2 linked regions of the Mytilus edulis genome follow. The protein of the gene in region 2 purifies or fractionates together with the protein of the main gene of each other region. This does not show direct contact. Links are inferred from orthologs where the notes say so. Each region holds a gene or a part of one and is shown on either strand. Other genes may lie near its edges.

What was found.
Region 1: the proteins of epidermal growth factor receptor-like (region 2) and SHC-transforming protein 1-like purify together in Drosophila melanogaster (affinity purification with western blotting; 3 studies listed by BioGRID). This does not show direct contact. The link is inferred for Mytilus edulis from reciprocal best matches to the Drosophila melanogaster genes Egfr and Shc.

What each region holds. Positions count from the first base shown.
Region 1 is NC_092347.1:75,000,677-75,013,689, forward strand, and holds the start of SHC-transforming protein 1-like, read right to left. Parts: upstream 6,706-13,013; 5' UTR 6,478-6,705; coding exon 6,443-6,477; exon of another isoform or gene 6,379-6,442; intron 4,588-6,378; exon of another isoform or gene 4,457-4,587; coding exon of another isoform or gene 4,437-4,456; intron 3,167-4,436; coding exon 3,028-3,166; intron 644-3,027; coding exon 573-643; intron 1-572.
Region 2 is NC_092357.1:52,092,057-52,104,739, forward strand, and holds the start of epidermal growth factor receptor-like, read right to left. Parts: upstream 6,217-12,683; 5' UTR 6,030-6,216; coding exon 5,936-6,029; intron 1-5,935. UniProt on the Drosophila melanogaster protein: Receptor tyrosine kinase, binding ligands of the EGF family and activating several signaling cascades to convert extracellular cues into appropriate cellular responses. Known ligands include spitz, gurken, vein and giant-lens.

The sequences.
Region 1 (13,013 bases), on a different chromosome or scaffold from region 2:
TAAACTATGTTACTTTCCAGTGACTTCTTGTGTAACCATGGAAACATTAAGAAATTTTTTTAATTTTATTTTTTTAAGTCGAAATATTGCCATTCACTCGTAATAACAAGTTGGTAATGACCATCGGTATAAAATGTGTTTATTATATTTTTGACAAGTAAGCAAAAAACCTATGTGAAACTTATAATTTTTCTTTAGCTAATCTTTTTATTATAATATAATAATAAAATTACCTATATATGAAAGCGTCTTTTTAATGAATGGTCATACAATATGAAGAGTTTAGAAGTATCAAAAGTAAACTGTAACAGAGTGTTAATTACCCCGACCCTATGCGTATGGTTGGACCATATGAGTATACACCCATATGGTCACGACCATAGGCGTATGGTCCAAATACTCATATGGTCCGGAACATATATATAGTTTGCATATAGTAACTTTCGACAATTTATAATAATTGATCCTTTAATATGAATGTTTCTTTAGTCATATTTGCATGCAAAATGCCAAAAATGCCCTAATGTTATTTGTAGCTTAAAATAATAAAAGGGAGATAACACCTCATTTACCTAGCTAGTGCTGTCCTTGTATCAAAATCTAGTTGCCTCATTGACTCTTTGACCTCTAGGCATCCTATATACTGATAAATAAAACAGATACAATCAATGTAAATCATAATTAAATACATGAATGTTAAATGTGTCATTATGGCTTTGGGGACATTTTTTAAACTTGTTTTACATGTTTAGTTAAATATTTAAAACTTTTGTCATGCATGTTTTATTCGAAACTCAAAAAATCGCCTGTTTTGATAATTATAAAAGTCTAAAACAAACCGTTTGTACAATGGAGAACTCTTTTCAAATAGAAAAAGATCAAAACGAAAAGAAAAATAAACTGCTAAAATATTCTTACTTTGCTGTAATGTATTCATAATTTGCCGTAAAGTTACATGTACCAGTATTTGAAATCTGTTGAAAATTTTCTCTGTTTATTACACTTATTACAACCAGATGCTCCGCAGGGCGTAGCTTTATACGACCGCAGAGGTTGAACCCTGAACGGTTAGGGCAAGTATGGACACAACATTCAAGCTGGATTCAGCTCTAAATTTGGATTGTGATTAAATAGTTGACACAGCATAGGTTTCTGACACAGAATGAATGTGTTCTAATGAACTTAAAATTTTTATTTCTCTTAGAGCAATTCACTATGCTGTTGAATATTAATCCTCTCAAAAAAAAATGTTTGAAGAAATTTTCTTTTTTATTTATGAAATTTCAAATGAGAAAAATTGAACCCAATTTTTTTAATCACATCCCCCTTTCCCTTATTCTAAAACTAATCTCAATTAAAATTTCTAATGGAGTTTGCAACAATAACTACTCATTTAAATACATCATAAAATATTAAGATGTAAAAAAACTGCTTGTTATCACTGAATGGTAAAGATTATTTTAATTTATCAGTTGGTAGTAAAAAGTGAATATACATTGTATATTGTATATAACAAAGATTTAAGTTGATTCTGGACAAAGAAAGATAACTCCAATTAAAAAAAAATCTTGCTATTGCACAATATTTTGCAATTAGATATTTCTTGCTTACTATTCTGGACAAAGAAAGATAACTCTAATTAAATTTTTTTTGATATTTCACAATATTGTGCAATTAGATATTTCTTGCCATTGCGCAATACTGTGCAATTGAAAAGACTTGCTATTGCACAATACTTAATATAATAATTTAAGATCCTGATTTGGACCAACTTGAAAACTGGGCCCATAATAAAAAATCTAAGTACATTTTTGAATTCAGCATATCAAAGAACTTCAAGATTTCAATTTTTGTTAAAATCAGACTAAGTTTAATTTTGGACCCTTTGGACTTTAGTGTAGACCAATTTGAAAACAGGACCAAAAATGAAGAATCTACATACACAGTTAGATTTGGTATATCAAAGAACCCCATTTATTCAATTTTTGATGAAATCAAACAAAGTTTAATTTTGGACCCCGATTTGGACCAACTTGAAAACTGGGCCAATAATCAAGAATCTAGATACATTTTTAGATTCAGCATATCAAAGAACCTAACTGATTCATTTTTTGTCAAAATCAAACTAAGTTTAATTTTGGACCCTTTGGACCTTAATGTAGACCAATTTGAAAACGGGACCAAAAGTTAAGAATCTACATACACAGTCATGACAGTTAGATTCAGCATATCAAAGAACCCCAATTATTCAATTTTGATGAAATCAAACAAAAGTTTAATTTTGGACCCTTTGGGCCCCTTATTATGTTGGGACCAAAACTCCCAAAATCAAACCCAACCTTTCTTTTATGGTCATAAACCTTGTGTTTAAAATTCATAGATTTCTATTTACTTATACTAACGTTATGGTGCGAAAACCAAGAAAAATGCTTATTTGGGTCCCTTTTTGGCCCCTAATTCCTAAACTGTTCGGACCTAAACTCCCAAAATCAATACCAACCTTCCTTTTGTAGTCATTAACATTGTGTTTAAATTTCATTGATTTCTATTTACTTAAACTAATGTTATTGTGCGAAAACCAAGAATAATGCTTATTTGGGCCCTTTTTTGGCCCCTAATTCCTAAACTGTTGAGACCAAAACTCCCAAAATCAATCCCAACCGTTTTTTTGTGGTCATAAACCTTGTGTCAAAATTTCATAGATTTCTATTAACTTAAACTAAAGTTATAGTGCGAAAACCAAGAAAATGCTTATTTGGGCCCTTTTTGGCCCCTAATTCCTAAAATGTTGGGACCAAAACTCCCAAAATCAATACCAACCTTCCTTTTGTGGTCATAAACCTTGTGTTAAAATTTCATAGATTTCCATTCACTTTTACTAAAGTTAGAGTGCGAAAACTAAAAGTATTCGGACGCCGGACGACGACGACGACGACGACGACGCTGACGCCAACGTGATAGCAATATACGACAAAATTTTTTTCAAAATTTGCGGTCGTATAATAAAGGGAGGTAACTGCTACTTACTCTCACACCATAGCATACACCAGCATCAGGCTTTATTTGTGCATCTGGATGAATCCAGCCTCTATCTGGTTTGTGCATAAAACTACCAGTTTTTGACCATTCAGAAGGTTGCTTCTTCCCCTTTTTATGCTTGTCCATTCTGGAAAAAAATATAGTGCATGTAGACATTTGGACAAATATCATATACAAGATATATCTATAAAAAAGTTTTCTGTGGTCTTGGTTTCGGATATCTTGCTGTTATGTCTTCATTAGATATAATCATAATCCTTGTTAATATAATTAGACATGAGACTTTATTTACTTGCAGCTCATTTATTAGGTGTTTGATCATACACTGTAGTAAGAATTTTCATTTTTCTATGCTTTAACACCAGTGAACCAGTAAGAAAAATACACAGCCCATTCCGCATTTAAGGACCAAAAAACATGGTAGTTCATTGACTAACTGTCTGTATCTTCCTCTTGATTTAGAGTTTAAAGGAAAATTTGTGTTTTCATGGCTTTTTGATTTTGTGGTTTTACAACAATTGGCATACAAGCCTATTAAAAGGAAATTTGTATTTTGTTGAACATTTCAAATTTGGGGTTCACAAAAACCCATGAATTCTATGTAATTTAAAAATTCCACTTGAATTCATAATGAACTCACAGAAGTCAACCTTATTCAATCCTTATATCAAAATGTTGTGAAGTGAAAGACATATACAGATTTCTATACAGTATTCTTGGAGATTATCCACTTTCACTTATTTCATTAACAAGGTAATTAATTTGGGCAATCTCATTGTAATTGCGTCAGATCATATCAAAATTCCCAATAACTTGAAGATAGATTTTATAAGACTTACTTGTATAATGGTAAAAATTGAAATTTTATAAATCTTATGTTAACATTTTAAAACTAAATTGAAGTGAATGCAGACTTTGCATTTAGAATGATTGGAAAACAATGATTTAACACATGCATTATACATGTATATACATTGTATTATACAAGTAAAGCACCCATTTTAACATGTACATGTAGGCCTTTAACATTATATATATGTATATGTATATTAATACATGTACTGTGACAATTTACCAACAGAGGTTGTGGTAAGGGTTAACTGAAATTATCATTAGTGGTTTTTATAATGTCAATTCATCTATTACAATATAAAAACACAATATGTCAATAACAACCAACCCGGTAAATATTTCTATATGCTTAACAAAAAATAAAAAAATGTAGTTACTTACTTATCATGCTTATATCATTATCATTTACAGTCTGAATTTATGTATTATATTGTATTAACAAAATTAAAATTGATCACTACATTGTATCATCATTCAACATATATATTTATAAATGGAAATAGATGAATAAAATGATTTATGAATATTATAAATATATCACTTACACATTCAAAGTTATGCACATTTACAAACAGTTACAGATGGTTACTCATGCAGATATGGTAGACCGATTGTAAATAAAACATATTGTACACAATATAACCATATGTCTGATAACAGGGATATTAAGTTTATCTCTTAGTTCCTGGTTGTAATATTTCAACTTTATTATGAAAGTCAAGGACATGGATACTTTATTTTATATATATGATATATATATATAAATGTTAAAATATTACAAATTATCTTTCTTGAAATATATTAGTTTTTAAAACCCTTGAGCATGTTGAGTGTAAAAACCAAATCCATCAGATGTTCACAATGGCTTTCAAATATCTGTATCAATATTTTTTTAAATGTGTCTTACCTATTTGTTTAAGGGTTCAAACTTCTTATAAGATAACATTTCATGGAAATCTTGACAAAGGAGTCTCATTTTGAGATCTTGTCATTTATATTTAGATATGAGTTATCTAAAAAGATAATTTTGACACATGTCTTATGCAATGATGTAAATGGGGGTAAAAATTAAAATACATGCATAGCTGTGACTCAAATATCATTTTGCCAAAACAGGGTCATTTTAAGACAATCTGTCAATTTCAACATGTTTATGACAGCATAACTTATATTTTTGCACTAAAATGTAAGGAGTATATCGTTCTTTTTATTTCTCAATATTATAAAGGAGAATTCAATCTGATGCCTTGTACAGAGTGATGCCCACACATTCTTCTCATTTCATCCATCTTACTAGCATGCACTTGTGTATTTGATTATTATTGTTGATGATACCATCTCTTACAATACACTAAATTGTGCCCACTTTGTTGAAACTTAAACTCATTTCCCATTGTAAATCAAAATGTGGAAGCAATACATGTATCACTGACCTATATCTGACCAATCCACTTATGGTTTTAGAGAAGAGGGTCTAGACAGGCTCAGGCATGTACTTATCATGTATCGACAATACATGCAGAAATTTTAAAGGAACTGAAATTCTAAGTTACCGTTAATTTTGTTGATATTTGCTGAAAAGATGAATGCTTGATTGTTGGTAATTCATCTTAATAATAGTATGAAATTCAAAACAGTGTAGCTGTGGCCATTGATTGACACATTAAAATCATTCATTGACTGGGACAATTTAGGTGAACGTTTGTATGTAACGACCAATGCTCACTATGTACTTTTTAAAGAAACTTAAACTATGGGGTCACCAAAGGTTCTCAAAACCTAAATAAAGTAATTCGAAAAATTAATCAGAAATAACACGATATTTTGATTTATATCAATTATATAAATCAAAACACAAAGTTTATTCCTGATTAATTTTTTCGAATTATTTTATAATTAAAGGCATTAAGAAACCTTTGGTGACCCCACAGTTTAACTGTCTATCGTAGGTACGTCATGAACAGTGGTTGTTACAGACAAACGTTCACGTAAATTGTCCCAGTCAATGGATGATTTTGATGGGTCAATCAATGGCCACAGCTACACTGTTTTGAATTTCATACTATTTGTATTTCTATGTTTATTGCATCATGTCCATAGAAAATATAGATTTTTGAAAGCAGAATTTGACCTGTAATGGTTTACTTTTATAAATTGTGACTTGAATTAATACAGAGCTGTCTCATTGGCACTCATACCACATCTTCTTATATCTACTCACTATTAATCCCTCAACACATTCACCTTTAACTGATTCACATTGCCTGTACTTGAGATGAAATGATACATCTAAAAGCGAGTCTTGTTTCAGCTACCGGTTCATATCAATGTCGCAATTCATTCAGATTAATGCAACATTTAAAAAAATATGTCTGATCAGATCTACATGTCTTAGAAATGACTTTGGTTAAATTTGATAGAAAAAAAAACATACATGTATATTCAATTGTAAAATTATTAACATTAAACAAATACATTTAAAAGTACCTTCATTAATCCTAGATCATTGTAGATACAGGACATTAATTTACTACATACATGTAGTACTTACATAGTACCAAAACACAACAATAAGTCCTGACTCATCACAACTGGAGCAACGATTTGTCATCAATAATATATAATTGTTTTAATGGCCATCATAAACTTCCTGATCAAAAATAAAACAATACCACAAGACTGCACCTTGTAAAGAAATGTACTTGGCTCACTTTAAATCTATACTTCCCAATTGACATATATATATAAAGTATATAATGAGGTTCATATATCATATACTTTTACATCTTTTCATGTATTTTATGTACGTGTATATATGGTTAAAAAGGTCAATAAAGTACATTCAATAATGGTTTCAGAGGAGAAAATTTTGGCATAAGTTTGTTACCAGAAACTAGGTAATAGAGATAATTGTGCTCATTTACAGCGATTTTTTAAGTAAGGACATAAATTTAAGATTATTATTGCAATTTTCAGGAAGAGCTGCATAATATATGCATCAGATATTCGAATGCCAGTTCCTTTCATTGCGTTACTCATAACAGTCCCATTATTCACATTAATAAAAAGCATTACAATATTTTATGAACTTACAGTAATCTCATTTACTACCCCTTCATACCAGGTGAGCTAAAAAGGGGGGTTTTCAAGTTGATCATTCCACATTCAAATTTTACTTACATGTAGTACTTGACAGCTTAATCATGTGCATGATGAATTATGATTGTTTTTGAATTTCAAATTAAAATCTAGAAATGTGTGTAAAGGCAATGCAATATTACAATGTACACCAATAACAATATTGCTAATTATACTATTTAACCCTTTACTCTATGGAGATTTTTTTTTTAAATACTTGATTCGCATAGGATTTTTTCAATAAAAAAAAATATCAGGTTTAAAGTATTAATGCATTACAAAAACAAATATTTCATCAATGAAATTCAAGTCAGATATTCTTTCATATAAGATACAATTTTTTTAAAGTTTGATGCAGACATTTTGTAGTCAAAGCGTTTCATCTTAAGTACTACACAGGTGTCAAAAGGCGTTATTATGGAGTAAAGGGGGTGGCGTCAAAAAGCGTCATTATGGAGGAAAGGGTTAACTGCTTGATTTTTTAATGAAGCAAATAACATTAGTTTTATAACTGGTCATCTTAAACTTGCAGTAAGATTTATCATTTAGATCTGTGTTGATGGCCTTACTGTGACTCAGTGTTCTCCCCAGGCCGATATGACGCTGCGGTCCCGCATCGCCTTCATAATATTTTCGTAAATCCCGCAGCTATACACATGTGTGTATATGTCTCTGCTTCAAATGAAAAGGGAAATACACTTCCGATCCATCTACACTCAGCTGTCAGTATACACAGATATTATTGCTTCCCCTAATCCCAACCGAGCTAAAGTTTTAGCAGTGATAAAAGCAAGCACCATGTTTCTGGTTTCAGTGACAAGTGGCTGACTGAGTTTTCATTGCTTAGAAATGTTAAAGGGGGTATAAGCAAAAGTTATTGTGAGAGGGGGTGTTCAATCCCTAAAGAGGATAAAGACAAAGTTGAGGAACAGACTGTCCAACAAAATAACATTATCTTGAAACAATATCCCTAGAAGGAGTAGAGAATACAGAGATGAATATTTTTATTTTGACATCTTGAATGGACTGAATATATATATATAAATAACTTTTGTGTTTAAATCAATTTATTTCATATATATTCTTGTAATTCACTTTGCACTATTAAACACACAACACAAAGCATTATAACTCATATTGCATGTCATGATTTATGACTGATTGATTCAGATCACAAAAGTTCACTATAAAAAAGAGTTACGCACCCTTGAATTTTGCGCCTTAGAAAAATCCTGGGGAGAACACTGGTGACTTAGAGATGAATAACAGCAATAAAAGTTTATACTGTTTTGACTGCACATGTACTGATTTTCTGTCAGGAGTGGATATCCCATATATAATTCTTTCCATGTTATTTACCGGTATTGGTATTTGGTCGATATTGCTTGAATTGGATTCAACCCCAAAGTTGATCCAGCATCAAGATGATCTGGTCCAAGACTATTCAGCTCAATAATAAAATAATGGATATATAAAGTTCTAAGAGTTTTGAGAAGCATTTGAATTGGTTCAGGTTTAACAGAAATTTGCACATGCAAATGTTAATGTGCTGATGATCGAATACATATTTTTGGAAAACATTAATCATGTTAATAATGATCAATAACTGGTTAGTACCACATTTTTCAATTTGACTGAGTAGATTTCATAGCAATTTTTTTTACATTGGCTTTGAAATTAGCTTTTGTGAGTAAAATTGTATTACACCAGTTAAAAAGATGAAAGATTGTTCAGATGAAAATAAAAAAATGTTGATTAATATCTATTGTACATAAACTACATGTATAAACTTCTGTAATATATGTTTTATTATAACTTTATGTAACATACACAATAGTCTTAATAAACATACCCGTACCCAGGTGGGGTTTGTCTAGAACCCCCCTCCCCCCTTGAAAACAAATAACCACTGTTAAAGTCAACGTTCTGTTCGAATTGTGACTGTTAAAGTTGAGTTCGTGAGTCCAAATAACCCCCCTTCGGAAATTCTTGGCTACAGGCCTGATAAATATTTATATTAAAACCATTTCATGTTTCATTTATACAGTTGGACTGAATGCAATATGACCAAAAGTTATGAGTCCAGAGGACTCTCCTTCAAAATTCTATGTAAACTCAGAACACAGCAAGAATGGAAATGCTGACCTGCCTACCTTTATCATTTTAAATGATGTAACCATAAACCAACATTTGTGTATGCCTAATACCGCACAAATGACAGCCTGCTGCCAAGGGAAATATAATGATAGTGCCATGGCAGTCTGGTTCACTGCAATGCAATGAAAAAATGATACCCTAAAGTATATAACCCTGAAAATACAATGTGCAGAATCTATGTAACCGTCTCTTTGAAAATGTGTTTTTTAATAAATTGTATGTAAATACTGAATGACTGATAGTGATGTCTCATGTGTTTTTTATACATGTATATACATTTAATTTGTATGTGATATCAATATATTCAAATGGTTAATTGTTTTGAAAGGTAGCATATTATCTATACAAAAAGGAGGTTGGTAATGCCCTTTACTGTCAGGCAATTAACGCTAATTTTTTTGGTACCGTTAGCGTCTAATTGGTTGAAATTTTACTGTGATTCGTCAGAGGTATCAAATAATTATCGTTACAATTATTTTTTGGAAAAAAAATATTGTGATGTACATTTTATCGTCATGCACTAAAAATTACCATTAAAGTCATTTGGCAAGAATGTTTACCGTAATATGTCATGAAGGTACCCCAATTGTATCTATGTACTTTGATTTCCAATATTTTCCCACCACCAGAACAATCCCAACACAACACCGCCCAAGGGAGCGTGTATGACACCGGGGAAGTCTGTTATTATGGTGGAGGAAGCCGAAGGACTCGGAGAGAACCACCAGGCCACTCGGTGGAAACAGACAAACCAGAGAGATATCAGAAGATTGATCTTCTGGTCAAAGTAGGGGGCAACTTTGACCAACCAAGGCCCCCAAAGTACCCATTCTAGTTTAAATTCCGGTCTGGGTACCAGAGTTGTGTGTGAGAGGGTGAAAATTACCCTTCTGATGTACTGATATTTTTAGCACCCCAAGTGAGAACTTTTGGAACGGGACCTTCAGCACTGTAGCCATCGGTCTTAACCACTAGACCACGAACTCACATAACATTACTACCCTTAAGAAGGGGCTCCTATTTCAAAAACCTAAATCTGTCAGTGTCACTGGACAAAATCATGAAAATGACAGACATTGGTTTTTTTTACACTCAATAATTGCTCAAAGTAATAATGTTTCGTATATGGGAGTTCCGACCCTATTCATTTTTTGTGTTTGCCGCTTGCAGATTTTACACCTGCACAGAAAAAAAGGTAAAATGAAAAGTTAGACAAGACTGCCCTTCCTTACATCGCAACTGCCCGACCACCTAACGGCAATGTGTAAGGTTTATTAGTCTTGTCATTCCTAAAAAGGAAGATATGTGATAATACTGATAAGGGTAACATATATTTCTTACCTATTCTGTGATTATTTACTTCATAATTTACAAAAATAAACTATTTCCAGATTTTATCGTGACAAAATAAAACCGGAAGTTTATATCATTACTTCGCATGCGCAAGAAATAAGATCGACAACTTTTGTTCCCGCGAAATTTCAACTGTAATTTTATCCCTTTAGAGTATTTTATATGTGTTTTTTTTTTAAGAAATGTTCGCAATACCGTATTTTCCTTCTTTTATTCAATATCAATACGATATAACAATAACAGCAATTATATATCGTTAGAAAATTTTTACACTCTATTGAGAGCAGAGACTGGTAAAACCAAGTATTAAACAAAGCCTTGGTGAAACTGAAAGGGGCACTAGCTACAAGTACATATTATATTAAAAAAATATTTTTTTTTAGGTTCAAACATTAATAACAGTAAAATAGTAATTCGCTTTAAACAGCCAGTATGATCCAATTTTGTCAAAATTAACTAAGAACCATTGTAATGAATTATTCACTTGCAAGTGAATAATTCGACCTCATTGAATCCGTGTTCTTGTGAAGCTAGAGATGGATAACGTATGAATTGTGTGCGTGTTTGATTAGTTTTAAAAAGGAAAAGAATGTCAACATTGAAAGCGAAACAAAGGTAAATCATTAGATTGACTATTCCTCAAACAAATCATTCTTATACAGGTAAAAATGATGATTAACAACTATAAATGAAATTAAATAGATCTAGAAGAATCCAATTCCACGAGTTCCACTTTCTACTTATATCTATAGTTATGTTTAAATCGCTTATATGGGCATCGGAGGTCACAGTATTTAGGAGGTCAACTCGACAGTTAATTAGATTGCGTCTAGACTAAAATACACACAAAACGAAGGGGGGGGGGGGGGGGGGGGGGGGTCAACGAAGCTACGTATTATCATGCCCATGGCCTGTAAACTGTTTACTTTAGACTTTTAATAATTTTGATAAATATTTTACATTGTTATAAAACAAATATGAGAATTTGAGTCAAATCGATGAACATGAATTTGACAGCTAGTGCTCGTTAGAATTTACAGTATATATATATATATATATATATATATATATATATATATATATATATATATATATATATAAAAAAAAAGCACCAAAAAAAAATATCAAGGAAAAAAGGGATCCATTTCCCAAAACGCCTGTGCCTTTGACATGGACATACAAACTTTTTCATGTTTAAGAATTGGTGTACATCATCCGAAGAATGAAAATTGCAAATTTACAGATCTAGATATACAATCAATGCACACTTTATAAAAATGGCCCAGCATAGTTATTTGTTGTACTTTTTTTTAATCTCAGGCTAATATCAAATGCAATACCCACACTAGAGTTGGTGATGGCAGAACCTATAGAAGGCTCCGTGGAAGCCGATGGAAGGCTCCGTGTTGAAAGCCGGACCTTGACCTATAATGGTTTATTTAATAAATTGTTATTTGGATGGAGCGTTGTCTCATTGGCACTCATTACCACATGTTCCCATATCTACTAAATACAACTTATGAGCGAGAGGATTTTTTTCAATCCTTCAATTTTTACTTAAGACAAAATCAAAGTGAATGGGTTCACTTTTTAAAATCTTACAATTTACTAGAATGCATTCTGGAAACAATATAAAACAATTTTTACAGTACTATTGAGAAAGTTGAATCATTTTGACAGACATAAAACTATTTTTTATTTGTTCCGAGTTTTGAAAATACGCCGGCTGTTTTTTTTCCAGATTTTGAACTCGAATTTGAGTTAAACACAGTCATGATCCGATATAAGATCTTTCACGATTCGATCTCAATTCTCAACCACCATATGGTCTTCTTTCACGATAATTTTTCTCGATGTACCGAATGACAACCGTGTAATGTCTGTAATTGAACGTCGAGCAAGATGAGACTATCTATAAATTAATGATGTATCGTAATATTCCTGCCCTATTCCAGAATCCTTTGGGATGTATGTCCTAAAAAACAACCAGTTATATTTTCTGCAATTCTCTGTATCATGTTTAGGGCCGAGGCTAGGAGCTTAAGTCAGAAAAGTTTGGAACTGTAGTGTAAGACATCAGAGTAAAAGGAGTACATGGGTAAATATCGATGAAAAAATACACAACCGCCTTCATCCAATATTTGAATATACAATTCCTTTCTGCATCGTAAAAAAGTTTTATACAGATATGTGAATCAATGATGCAATTGTGTATACACATTGAATGTGATTCAATGATTAAATTGAGTGATTCAGTAAATTCTGTTTTCTTGTTTGTAATCAGCACCAACAATTTTGTGATGCGTCATTTAGTTCTTTTCAGCAGCTTTTAGCCCAAAAGGTATGATATAATAGAATAAATTCATTTTTTGATATTGTTATTATGTACCGGTATGGCTTTCTTGTTTATATATAGTGATAATTTTCGAAGAAAATCTAAGCCATATACTTATGAAACGATTGGATTATAAGCT
Region 2 (12,683 bases):
ACAATAAAATCATCACTTCTTTTTCCAATCATAAATTTATTGTATTTCCAGTTTTCTTGGCATATAAATCTTGATTCAAAGATCAATTAAATATACTTTACACACACACACCTTATTATAACATAAAGTCATAACCTCAAATTTAAAATATTTTCATTTGATAGGTGTACGATGTTACCATCAAAAGTTTTTAACACCATAAAAGTTAGAATGTAAATGTAGGACAGAAAGTCACAGGACAAAAAGTCACAGACAAAAAGTTACACAGTGTACTAAAATATTAGGATTATCATTATTCATTTTAAAATAGCCTTAGTTGATAAGCATGGTCGGACCAAATTGTGAAGTGCCCATTTTTCTGAGAAAATGTCATTCGCCAAACAATGATAGGTTTTACTGTATACATGTAAATGATTGAATACCATTATTATTTCACAAATACCCAAAATAATGTCACAAAAAGGATGTAAAATGAAGAATTTTAATATTCCTATGTCTGTGTAAATATTGCAGCCTACAGGTTAATGTTATGTCAGTTTGTAGAATCAAAATTTCAGTATGAAAGATGCTTTTGTTGTTTTGGTGATTATCTTTAAATTGGTAAAAAGTATTAAATGATAAAAGTAGTGATATTCCATGATAAAGACTGACGTAAGCAAACAAAAAAATAGACAGATAGAGCCTTTGATGGAAAATACAGACTCTTTATAAAATCCTTGAGAGTAATCACAGAAGCAGTGATGCTATCAGAGAGATTTCTATCTTATACATCAAGGAAATAAGGTTAAACACTTTGCTCAAGTCTTACACTGGCTAGAGACAATGATTAATTATTAATATGTACATGATTTTTATAAGATATTGAAGAAATATATATGATCATTTTAATAATATTTTGGTTTAAAAAAAAAATTATAATAAAAATGATAGTGTAACAGTTTTGTGTCATCCTGGCTGTCCATCAGAGGTCCTTACTGGGTAATTGACAACCGCAAATATTGTTATTCTTATTTTATTATCTAATAAGGTCAATACTTTGTATGTTGTACTATAATAGTTTATAAAATGCTGTAGAGTTAATATTTCAGACAAAATGGGGAGGTCAATGTAAATTTAACCTGGTAGAAAAATATTCTCAATAACACACATGGAATTAAGGATCCTGAGTAAGAGGGTTACAGGTTCAGTACCCATGTCTTAGATAGAATATTGTACCCAAAATGAAAATTACATAATTGGTGCTTAAATTTGTACTTATATTGAAACTTTCAACTTCTATTTTATTTGATTCTGAAATGTATATGGTGGATTTAAAATAGATAAAATAGATCTAAGATTTTAACCAGGAAGTGAATAAAAGATCCTACTTTAAATCTCAAACAGTATTGCTCTCCAGTGGCGGATCCAGAACTTTTCCTAAGGGGGGGCCCGTTGACTGACCTAAGGAGGGCCCGCTCCACTCATGCTTCAATGAGTCCCTATAAAATCAACCAAATTTTTCCCACAAAAGGGGGGCCCGGGCCCCCCAGCCCCCCCTCCTGGATCCGCCTATGCTCGCTTATGTACCTTTCAAGAGCAGTCCTGAAACTATAAAGAAGGGGGAAAATATGTGGCCTCAATTTTAAACAGTGAGGGACTCAGAGGCAAAAGATACCAAAGCAACATGCTAACTCACAAGTCAGAACAGTGAGGTACTCAGAGGCAAAAGATACCAAAGCAACATGCTAACTCACAAGTCAGACAGTAAGGGACTCAAGCAACATGCTAACTCACAAGTCAGAACAGTGAGGGACTCAGAGGCAAAAGATACCAAAGCAACATGCTAACTCACAAGTCAGAACAGTGAGGGACTCAGAGGCAAAAGATACCAAAGCAACATGCTTAACTCACAAGTCAGAACAGTGAGGGACGCAGAGACAAAAGTTACCAAAGCAACATGCTAACTCACAAGTCGAAAAAAAAATGACAACGCCAATTTAAAGAACTTTTAAAAATATATAATGATTAACATATGTTGAACTCGTTGACCACTGTTGTATACATAGAGATGTTAGTGTTGTTTTATTTAAGGAATGACTGTAATATTTTTTCTGTCTATGAAGAAATAACATAAAAAATTTGATGCACACTGAATAACGCGTGTAGGGGGTTATTTAACAGTGTGCACCACATTTTTTATGTTATTTCGAATAGACAGAAAAAATATTAGTCATTTCTTATAATTTAATTCTAAATTCTATTTTAAACCGTAGAAAACCTTGAAAAAACGTTGATGACGTTGTGGTCACATGACTAAATTATGTCTATGGTCCGATAACAAAATAATGTCGGCCAATCAGAAGACGCGTTTCATCCAAAATTAAATTATTTAATATTATTATCTTTACCTGATTGTTTTTAAAACCTTATTATAGTTATGATAGTGTTTGATGGCAAAAAAATATTGTATTGTTTGTCTTTCAGCAACAAAATGGTTTAACTTTGAAAGACAGAATAAAGACATGGTGAAGTCCTCCAATGTTCTCTTACAAGATCTGTCTTTTTCTGTATATATTTTGAGTGATTATCCATATAAGAAAAAAATGTCATGTAAATTATAAGAGCATTGTTATCCCAGTTGTAATGTAACAACAGAAGACTATAAATATGTTATGATAGACTAAGTAGTGTTGAAAGTGATGTTATAAATATTGACAGTAGTTAGATATAGATCATGTTTCCCTGTATAACTGACAGGTGTAGTCACTTTCGTATCTGAGGGCACAGTGATTAAAGAAGTAAGTATTAATTATTTAATTAATTTAATATGTAAGTAACTTGGATGTTTTTCAATGATGTTTCAAGTTCAATCCATAAGTTTTACCACCTTTAATGTGTTTTACCCCTCTACATATATTGATTTCAAAATAATATATGTTGTTGCAAAAATGACAGGTTAGAATGCATACAGCAAGTACATGTACATAAAAAACATAATACAACACATGAAAATAGTTCTTAACAAGTCAAGTTAATATTAAATAAGTATAGATATTGTAAATTCAGAAATTCATTGCATGCATTTTATATTATAGGGATGATACATTTCGACTTAAATGTGACTTAATTTTTGGGATATTGATAAAAATCCTGTTAAATTCATAAAAAAAAATTCAAAATCGAATTGTTGTCATTTATAATCCTGTCGCATTTATTGCAATAATAAAAACATCGCAATAATTTCTGAATTTACAGTAATCAATCTAATTATAATATAGAACGCAGATGTTTTAATACTAAAACCCATTGGTAGTATAATGAAATCAAAGTTCTATATTTTATAGTAGTATAACGAAATCAGAATTCTATATTTTAATTAGATTGATATTTAATTGACCCATGTGGACCCCTCACAATTATACACAAGAAACATGCAATACATGAAAAGTCCTAAACCAGTCAAATTACATGTACTGTAAATTCAGAAATTATTGCATACATCCATTATTGCGATTTTGTCAGTTTAGACCAAAATGCGATTTTAAATTTGTGGTATATATTCAGCAAAATCCTGTTTGATTCATATTACAAATTCCAAAATGCGAGTTTTAATTATTGCAATTATAACCCTGTCGCATTTTTCGCGATAAAAAAACGTTGCAATAATTTCTGAATTTACAGTAATTAGTAAACATAGATATAATTATATAGATAATTGACCAATGTGGACCTTATTTTTGCTTAACCTATATGCGTGTGATTTAGAAATAAAATATAACAAAAATAACGTATACAGATACATGTATATAACAAACATATTTATAGAACAGTATAAAAAGCTACATTATCATTGAATACAATGCTTTTTTCCATTCTTGTAATTCTTGGTTGCTGTTATTCTTCGGCTTTTGCTTGACCTATATAGATGATTTGCAAATTAAGTTATAATAATACAATGGCTACTCAGCCTAAAAAAAATCACAAGTTGTCTTTGAACAAAAGACATTAAACAACACCAATTCTATTTCAGCAACAATTTTCTAATAAAGTTCTAATTTAATCTCTTTAATATTCAAGCCTTTATGATATACATGTAATTGCTGTGAACTTCTTTTTTAAATAATTTGTCAAGATCTTTTTATCGAACACTTTTGAAATAAGATGTAATATTCCATTTATTCTTCAATCTTGGTTGAAATATTTTAAAACAAAATCTTCATTTTTCAAAATAAAATTGACCTTCAAATACATGTATTTTTTCTTGAAATCTTTGAATATTTTCCCTAGGAATTGAAGTATATAATAGAAGACAAATATTGATTAATGATTAAATGTTGTTGTAAATATTTAATCCTTTTGGCACTTTTCAAGATTCTTAGTTAATTGTACATTTGAGAATAACTTAAAGTTCATCTTGTGGAATATCACACACAAGTTAACAAGTTACCAATTTAAATGCTTCTTCTATAAATTTTGTAATTGTAGGCCTGGGACTATTACACTAACCATATTAGTCCTAGGTGTAGGATCATTTTTAACATGTAAAAAAAATAACAAGTGTTAACCTATATGTTTCTATTTAAATAATTAAAATCATTGGTAACTTGGAATACAATGACACATAAAACTTCTGAACTTAAATATTATGTTCATCAAATGGTCTACCTAGTATAAATCAATTTTCTTTTTTCTTTCATTGGTCTGGAAATATTATGGTTCCATGGTGTATGATTAAGTGTAATAAAATGTTCAGAAAGGCGATTTGTTTCTTTAATTAAAATAGCATTTTCAGAAATTGATGACACCAATGTCATTGTAATTCTAGTTAAGGAGCTGTGACATCACTTTCTAAACTGACATCAAATTCAATTGGGAAATTAAATTTGATTTTTCAACATTGTATTGAAAAGTAATAACATTGTGTATCATTGATACATTGTAGTTACATGCTGATTACAAATATTTAATCAGGTTGAAGTCTGATAAATCATACAATTTACAAATTATTTTTTCACTGAAAGTAAATTAGAAAATTGTTATATTACTGCTCTCTGCCATTGGACTTAAAAATGGTAAATCTATTTCAATTAGTTACTTTTCTTTTCTGTAAAAAAACATAAATCCCGTTTTCATTGAGCATGAAGTGATGAGTGAACAGGGGTCAAAACACATGTTTTGATTGCTATCAGTGATAATATTGACAATACAAACAAAATCATTGCCAACAGACTCTTGCTTAATTACCCTGTAATTGCATACTCATTAATACAAGATAAAAATATTCAAATACACATAAAGGATGGTATTGGCAATCACTTCATTCACAAAAATACATTCACTCCCCAAGAATGCAGACTGATAACTTTTACACCACTCTATTTACAAGTGGAACTTTTATGTTTTAACGTGTTTATTAAAACTGTTATGTAACGAAGATAATTTTATTGTGAAGGTGTATATGTAAAGGTATTTTGATTTGCCATAGTCACTGCATGAATTTTAGGGATTGTTGTATAATCTTCTCCGTATCTGTAATACTAAACTATTCAACTTTATATAGATGTGTTTTAAAATTTTAAAATAATATAAAAAAAAATGATTTTCATATTAAGATTTGTATAAATTATTATCAGCAGAACGAAAACAACAAATAAGATTTCTAAGAATATAAGCGACTACGGAACCTATTATATGTCGTTTGAATAACTTTTTCAATGACCCGAAACCTTACCTGTAAAGTTAACCTAAATATTATTTAATGTACCTGAATGGAATAAATAACATAACCAGACTAAAAACTATGAAGAATAACACTTGGTTCAATTATAAAATCTAATAAATATATTTTCGTTTTATAACAGCCATAAAATGGGACGTCTTCTAAGACTGTTTAAAGTGTACCTCTCGGTGTACCTGGATAAGGTAAAAATAACAAAAATAAAAACGAAACACCTACCGTGTTCAGGATTTGATATTAATCCATATCCATGGGAAAAACAAATCCCAAAAAGAATACATATACATAATAATAAATTTATATCCAAAGCCATTTCAGGAAATATGTTATTAAAAGTTAGTTCCAAAACTCATGTTAATTCCTACTTGGACTTCCCCGCTGTAGATACAAATAAACATGCGTTTGTTTAACTGCGCCACCGGAAATAACGTCATCAAAAGCCTGTCCATTCATCTTTTACAGAGCTTACTATGATCTTACTACTATAATCAGCTGTTTGTGATATCGTAATAATCGAAATATTTGTTAAATCAATCCAAGAATCGTGATTCGTTATTTTGATAAAACTCTAGTATACGCCTCGTGGCTCACTTGGCATGTTTATTTCTTGTTACCTAACTTAACTAGCTATAGTTCGCAGGATACTTTATATATGACTTATATTTAACAACCACTGTATTCTTAAGGTAAACACCAATTTATTTTTGTTTTATAATATTAATTGGATATGATCAATATTTGGCAAAACTCGTAACTAGTATGAACTCCTGTAGTCTATTGGCGTATGCTTTAAGGAGTTGATATTTTTTAGATACGCTAAATTAAAGTTACCTAAAATCAGAGACATCAGTATTTAATACAATTGTATATGTCTCTTCTTAAATGAAGTGCCTTTAATATTTAAAATGTATAAGATTTAATACAAAAATTTAAACTATGAAAATCAAAGCTGAGAATATCAAAACTCAAGTAGAAAACGTATAAAATATACATAGAAGTTTATCATGTGTATTTTAGTGAAAGCTCTCCATACAAGCAGATACTTTTACCAGCGTTCTACGCTTATTCTTCAGTTTTCTCTAATATTTTATCGACATGTCAAAAATGAGCTTCTGGCAAACCGAATATTAGAGGAAAGATAAAGTTGTTATCTTTACATATCGACATCAAGTATTTGAATATCACGGGAGTGTCTGAGATCTGTATCTCATTTCCCTACCCTTGGGACATTTAGACTTCGGTTAATTAAATTTCCAAATTTTAATATAAAAAAAAAGGAGGCTTGGTTTGATTGCTGATGCGATATCTTCCCACCAGAGTTAACTTGAAATGAAGCAACCACACGTCGCCATATGGACTTCAACAATGAACAAAATCCATTCAGTAAAGTGAATAAATCAGTTAGGAAAAGGAAAAAAAGGAAAACGAACGTCCTGATTATATTAGTGACAAAAGACACAATGAAAGAGTTAACGACAAACAACTATGACATGCAGACAACAACCAACAAGAAACACTATTAAATAACAAGCTAACGGTAACACTCGGACATGGCCATAAGGAACATTACGGTCTAAACACACGATATTGATATAAGATGACTCAAAGTTATACTGAAAGCTAACGGTGACACTCGGACATGGCCATAAGGAACATTACGGTCTAAACACACGATATTGATATAAGATGACTCAAAGTTATACTGAAAGCTAACGGTGACACTCGGACATGGCCATAAGGAACATTACGGTCTAAACACACGATATTGATATAAGATGACTCAAAGTTATACTGAAAGCTAACGGTGACACTCGGACATGGCCATAAGGAACATTACGGTCTAAACACACGATATTGATATAAGATGACTCAAAGTTATACTGAAAGCTAACGGTGACACTCGGACATGGCCATAAGGAACATTACGGTCTAAACACACGATATTGATATAAGATGACTCAAAGTTATACTGAAAGCTAACGGTGACACTCGGACATGGCCATAAGGAACATTACGGTCTAAACACACGATATTGATATAAGATGACTCAAAGTTATACTGAAAGCTAACGGTGACACTCGGACATGGCCATAAGGGACATTACGGTCTAAACACACGATATTGATATAAGATGACTCAAAGTTATACTGAAAGCTAACGGTGACACTCGGACATGGCCATAAGGAACATTACGGTCTAAACACACGATATTGATATAAGATGACTCAAAGATATACTGAAAGCTAACGGTGACACTCGGACATGGCCATAAGGGACATTACGGTCTAAACACACGATATTGATATAAGATGACTCAAAGTTATACTGAAAGCTAACGGTGACACTCGGACATGGCCATAAGGGACATTACGGTCTAAACACACGATATTGATATAAGATGACTCAAAGTTATACTGAAAGCTAACGGTGACATCGGACATGGCCATAAGGAACATTACGGTCTAAACACACGATATTGATATAAGATGACTCAAAGTTATACTGAAAGCTAACGGTGACACTCGGACATGGCCATAAGGAACATTACGGTCTAAACACACGATATTGATATAAGATGACTCAAAGTTATACTGAAAGCTAACGGTGACACTCGGACATGGCCATAAGGAACATTACGGTCTAAACACACGATATTGATATAAGATGACTCAAAGTTATACTGAAAGCTAACGGTGACACTCGGACATGGCCATAAGGAACATTACGGTCTAAACACACGATATTGATATAAGATGACTCAAAGTTATACTGAAAGCTAACGGTGACACTCGGACATGGCCATAAGGAACATTACGGTCTAAACACACGATATTGATATAAGATGACTCAAAGTTATACTGAAAGCTAACGGTGACACTCGGACATGGCCATAAGGAACATTACGGTCTAAACACACGATATTGATATAAGATGACTCAAAGTTATACTGAAAGCTAACGGTGACACTCGGACATGGCCATAAGGAACATTACGGTCTAAACACACGATATTGATATAAGATGACTCAAAGTTATACTGAAAGCTAACGGTGACACTCGGACATGGCCATAAGGGACATTACGGTCTAAACACACGATATTGATATAAGATGACTCAAAGTTATACTGAAAGCTAACGGTGACACTCGGACATGGCCATAAGGAACATTACGGTCTAAACACACGATATTGATATAAGATGACTCAAAGATATACTGAAAGCTAACGGTGACACTCGGACATGGCCATAAGGGACATTACGGTCTAAACACACGATATTGATATAAGATGACTCAAAGTTATACTGAAAGCTAACGGTGACACTCGGACATGGCCATAAGGGACATTACGGTCTAAACACACGATATTGATATAAGATGACTCAAAGTTATACTGAAAGCTAACGGTGACATCGGACATGGCCATAAGGAACATTACGGTCTAAACACACGATATTGATATAAGATGACTCAAAGTTATACTGAAAGCTAACGGTGACACTCGGACATGGCCATAAGGAACATTACGGTCTAAACACACGATATTGATATAAGATGACTCAAAGTTATACTGAAAGCTAACGGTGACACTCGGACATGGCCATAAGGAACATTACGGTCTAAACACACGATATTGATATAAGATGACTCAAAGTTATACTGAAAGCTAACGGTGACACTCGGACATGGCCATAAGGAACATTACGGTCTAAACACACGATATTGATATAAGATGACTCAAAGTTATACTGAAAGCTAACGGTGACACTCGGACATGGCCATAAGGAACATTACGGTCTAAACACACGATATTGATATAAGATGACTCAAAGTTATACTGAAAGCTAACGGTGACACTCGGACATGGCCATAAGGAACATTACGGTCTAAACACACGATATTGATATAAGATGACTCAAAGTTATACTGAAAGCTAACGGTGACACTCGGACATGGCCATAAGGGACATTACGGTCTAAACACACGATATTGATATAAGATGACTCAAAGTTATACTGAAAGCTAACGGTGACACTCGGACATGGCCATAAGGAACATTACGGTCTAAACACACGATATTGATATAAGATGACTCAAAGATATACTGAAAGCTAACGGTGACACTCGGACATGGCCATAAGGGACATTACGGTCTAAACACACGATATTGATATAAGATGACTCAAAGTTATACTGAAAGCTAACGGTGACACTCGGACATGGCCATAAGGGACATTACGGTCTAAACACACGATATTGATATAAGATGACTCAAAGTTATACTGAAAGCTAACGGTGACATCGGACATGGCCATAAGGGACATTACGGTCTAAACACACGATATTGATATAAGATGACTCAAAGTTATACTGAAAGCTAACGGTGACACTCGGACATGGCCATAAGGGACATTACGGTCTAAACACACGATATTGATATAAGATGACTCAAAGTTATACTGAAAGCTAACGGTGACATCGGACATGGCCATAAGGAACATTACGGTCTAAACACACGATATTGATATAAGATGACTCAAAGTTATACTGAAAGCTAACGCAAACCAGATAACAACTTATATTAAATTCTAAAAGACCACGAGACTCAACTTTGATTGAATTGTAGAAGCAGCAGCTCCCGATTTAAAGTTGTGGTTGTCGACGATCGGTTCATTCACTGCATATAATTGGGGGTTCATAATTGTTTGTTGAAATGTTGATTTTCCCCGCCAGGATAGAGGTTTTCTTCGGGGTGGGGGGGGATTCAGTACGCACATCCCTTTTCGTTAGAAACAATATTTGTTAGCATTATTGTGTCCAATTTACTTTCGATGTCTCATCTGTTTACAGAATTACGCCACCAATAAAAAAAAAAACGTCCCGGGTATTGCACTTAAGGTATAGATGGTTTAAAAAACTAATCATATGAATACTAGAGAAGACTGACAATTCAGGTTATGTTATTAATGTATAATTTGTTAAAACTCAAGCACTTTACATAACATGCGTTTTTGTGGACATCAAATGATTTTGACACAGATAAGCTACTGGTGTCTTTTGCAACTAAATCATAGCAAGTAATATGACTTGACTTGAAAAAACAAAAAGAAATTCATATTATACTTATATAAATACATGTATTATATATAATTTGTTTTTATGGCATCCTACTACATGTAATTTTTCAAAATTCGTGATTTTTTTTACTGAAACGAAGTTTTTTCTTTCCAAAACTATTAAGCAAAATTTCACCAAAATGTAATATGCATATCTTCGTAATAATATTATGCACAAAAAATTAGCAAAACTTCATTGGCCTTCTACTTTTAAAGTTGCATTGATAGAAAACATTTATCAAAATTTGCGACATTTTAACAGAGTTTGTTCCTGTTATTGGTGTAGAAATACGACGATGTGGTATGATTGCTATATGATACAACTCTCCATGCATGAGAGATCAAATGGCATGCATAGAAGTTAACAACTATTTTAGGTCAATGTACGACCTTCAACAATAAGCAAAGCCCATACCGCATAGTCAGCTAGCTATAAAAGGCTGTTACTTCAATTTTCACTAAAATATAATGTGCACATCTACATATTATGCACAACAGTCAGTTGTGCAAAATTATATTGACATCCTACGCATACTTTGGATTTTTTGCGTTTACAAACGTTGTTGACGGACAGACGAAAAGACAAACAAACTGAAAATAATATAATTCCCGCATATTCGATGGCCCCTAATAAGATGCTGTTTACAATGAGACATCTTTTCATTAGAGACCAAGCGAACGGTATAATACCGGTATAAGAACTAAAGGTCACCATACGACCTTCAATAACTAGCAAAACACATACCGCATAGCAAGCCATTACAAGCCCCTAATTGCCACATGTAAAACAATTCAAATGTTAATACACTATACTACAAAATAATTGCAAATATGAAATAACTCTGTCGCCGTGCCATATCATTTACCCTAAATGTTATTTTCCAGTGGTATCAATTTAGCCAGAACTTGGAATTCATTTACGCCAAAGAGCCTGTATAAATATTAATCAATTAAAATGTGTTAAACTGTGACATACTTAAATCTCTTATAAACTCTGATTAAGATATTTCAAAACGATGTAAAGAAAAGTCAAAATTGATTTATTTTCATTAAAATTTTATAAAAGCAGAAATAAGTCGCTATGAATTATCAGTTTTGTGAAAATCAACCCAAAAACATCGATGATGTATTATTGTCTTGCAAGTCAATATTTCAATCTTATTCAATCTCATGGCCCGTATACATGAGGTCATTATTTTCAGCTTGAGATGGGTTGCAAATGTGATCAGGATCTTCGGTTATCAAAAAGAAAAGAATGTGAACATTGAGAATTGAAACAAGAGGGTCACCAGTAGGACTTTTCTCATTTCTGATTCCGGGTGTTGCGAAAAGGGTGTTCCAAATCACAAAAGTATAAAATCGTGCTACACGGGTTACTGAAGTGTGTATCCCATTTTTATGGTGTTTTTTTTTTCATAGACAGAAAAAAAATATTACAGTAATTCAAAAAAGTATGTTATTTTCTGGAATTGCACCCTCTTTTCAAAAATCGCGATTCCGTCCCGCAGTTTCACGTTTTATTAGCATTATTAATCAAGGGAAATACAGTTTAAATCTCCACTCTCATGTCTCATTTAACTGACAAAAAAAAGAAACTGGTAGTCGAATTTTCCTGACTTGATGAGAATAAGGATAGAGGGACAGCATACATAAATTATTGTAATATCCGTAGGGATAACATCAAGACGGTCCATGGCTCAAAGAAAGCGGAAACGCTTTTAATTATCTGTATCTAAAAACTTGGTTTTACAAAGTTTCTTGGGGAGAAAGCTACCGATTTGTATGTTTTGATGGAAATTCCATGGAAGAATTCCTTCGATTAAGAAAAGAACAGACTCTGTAGCATTCAATA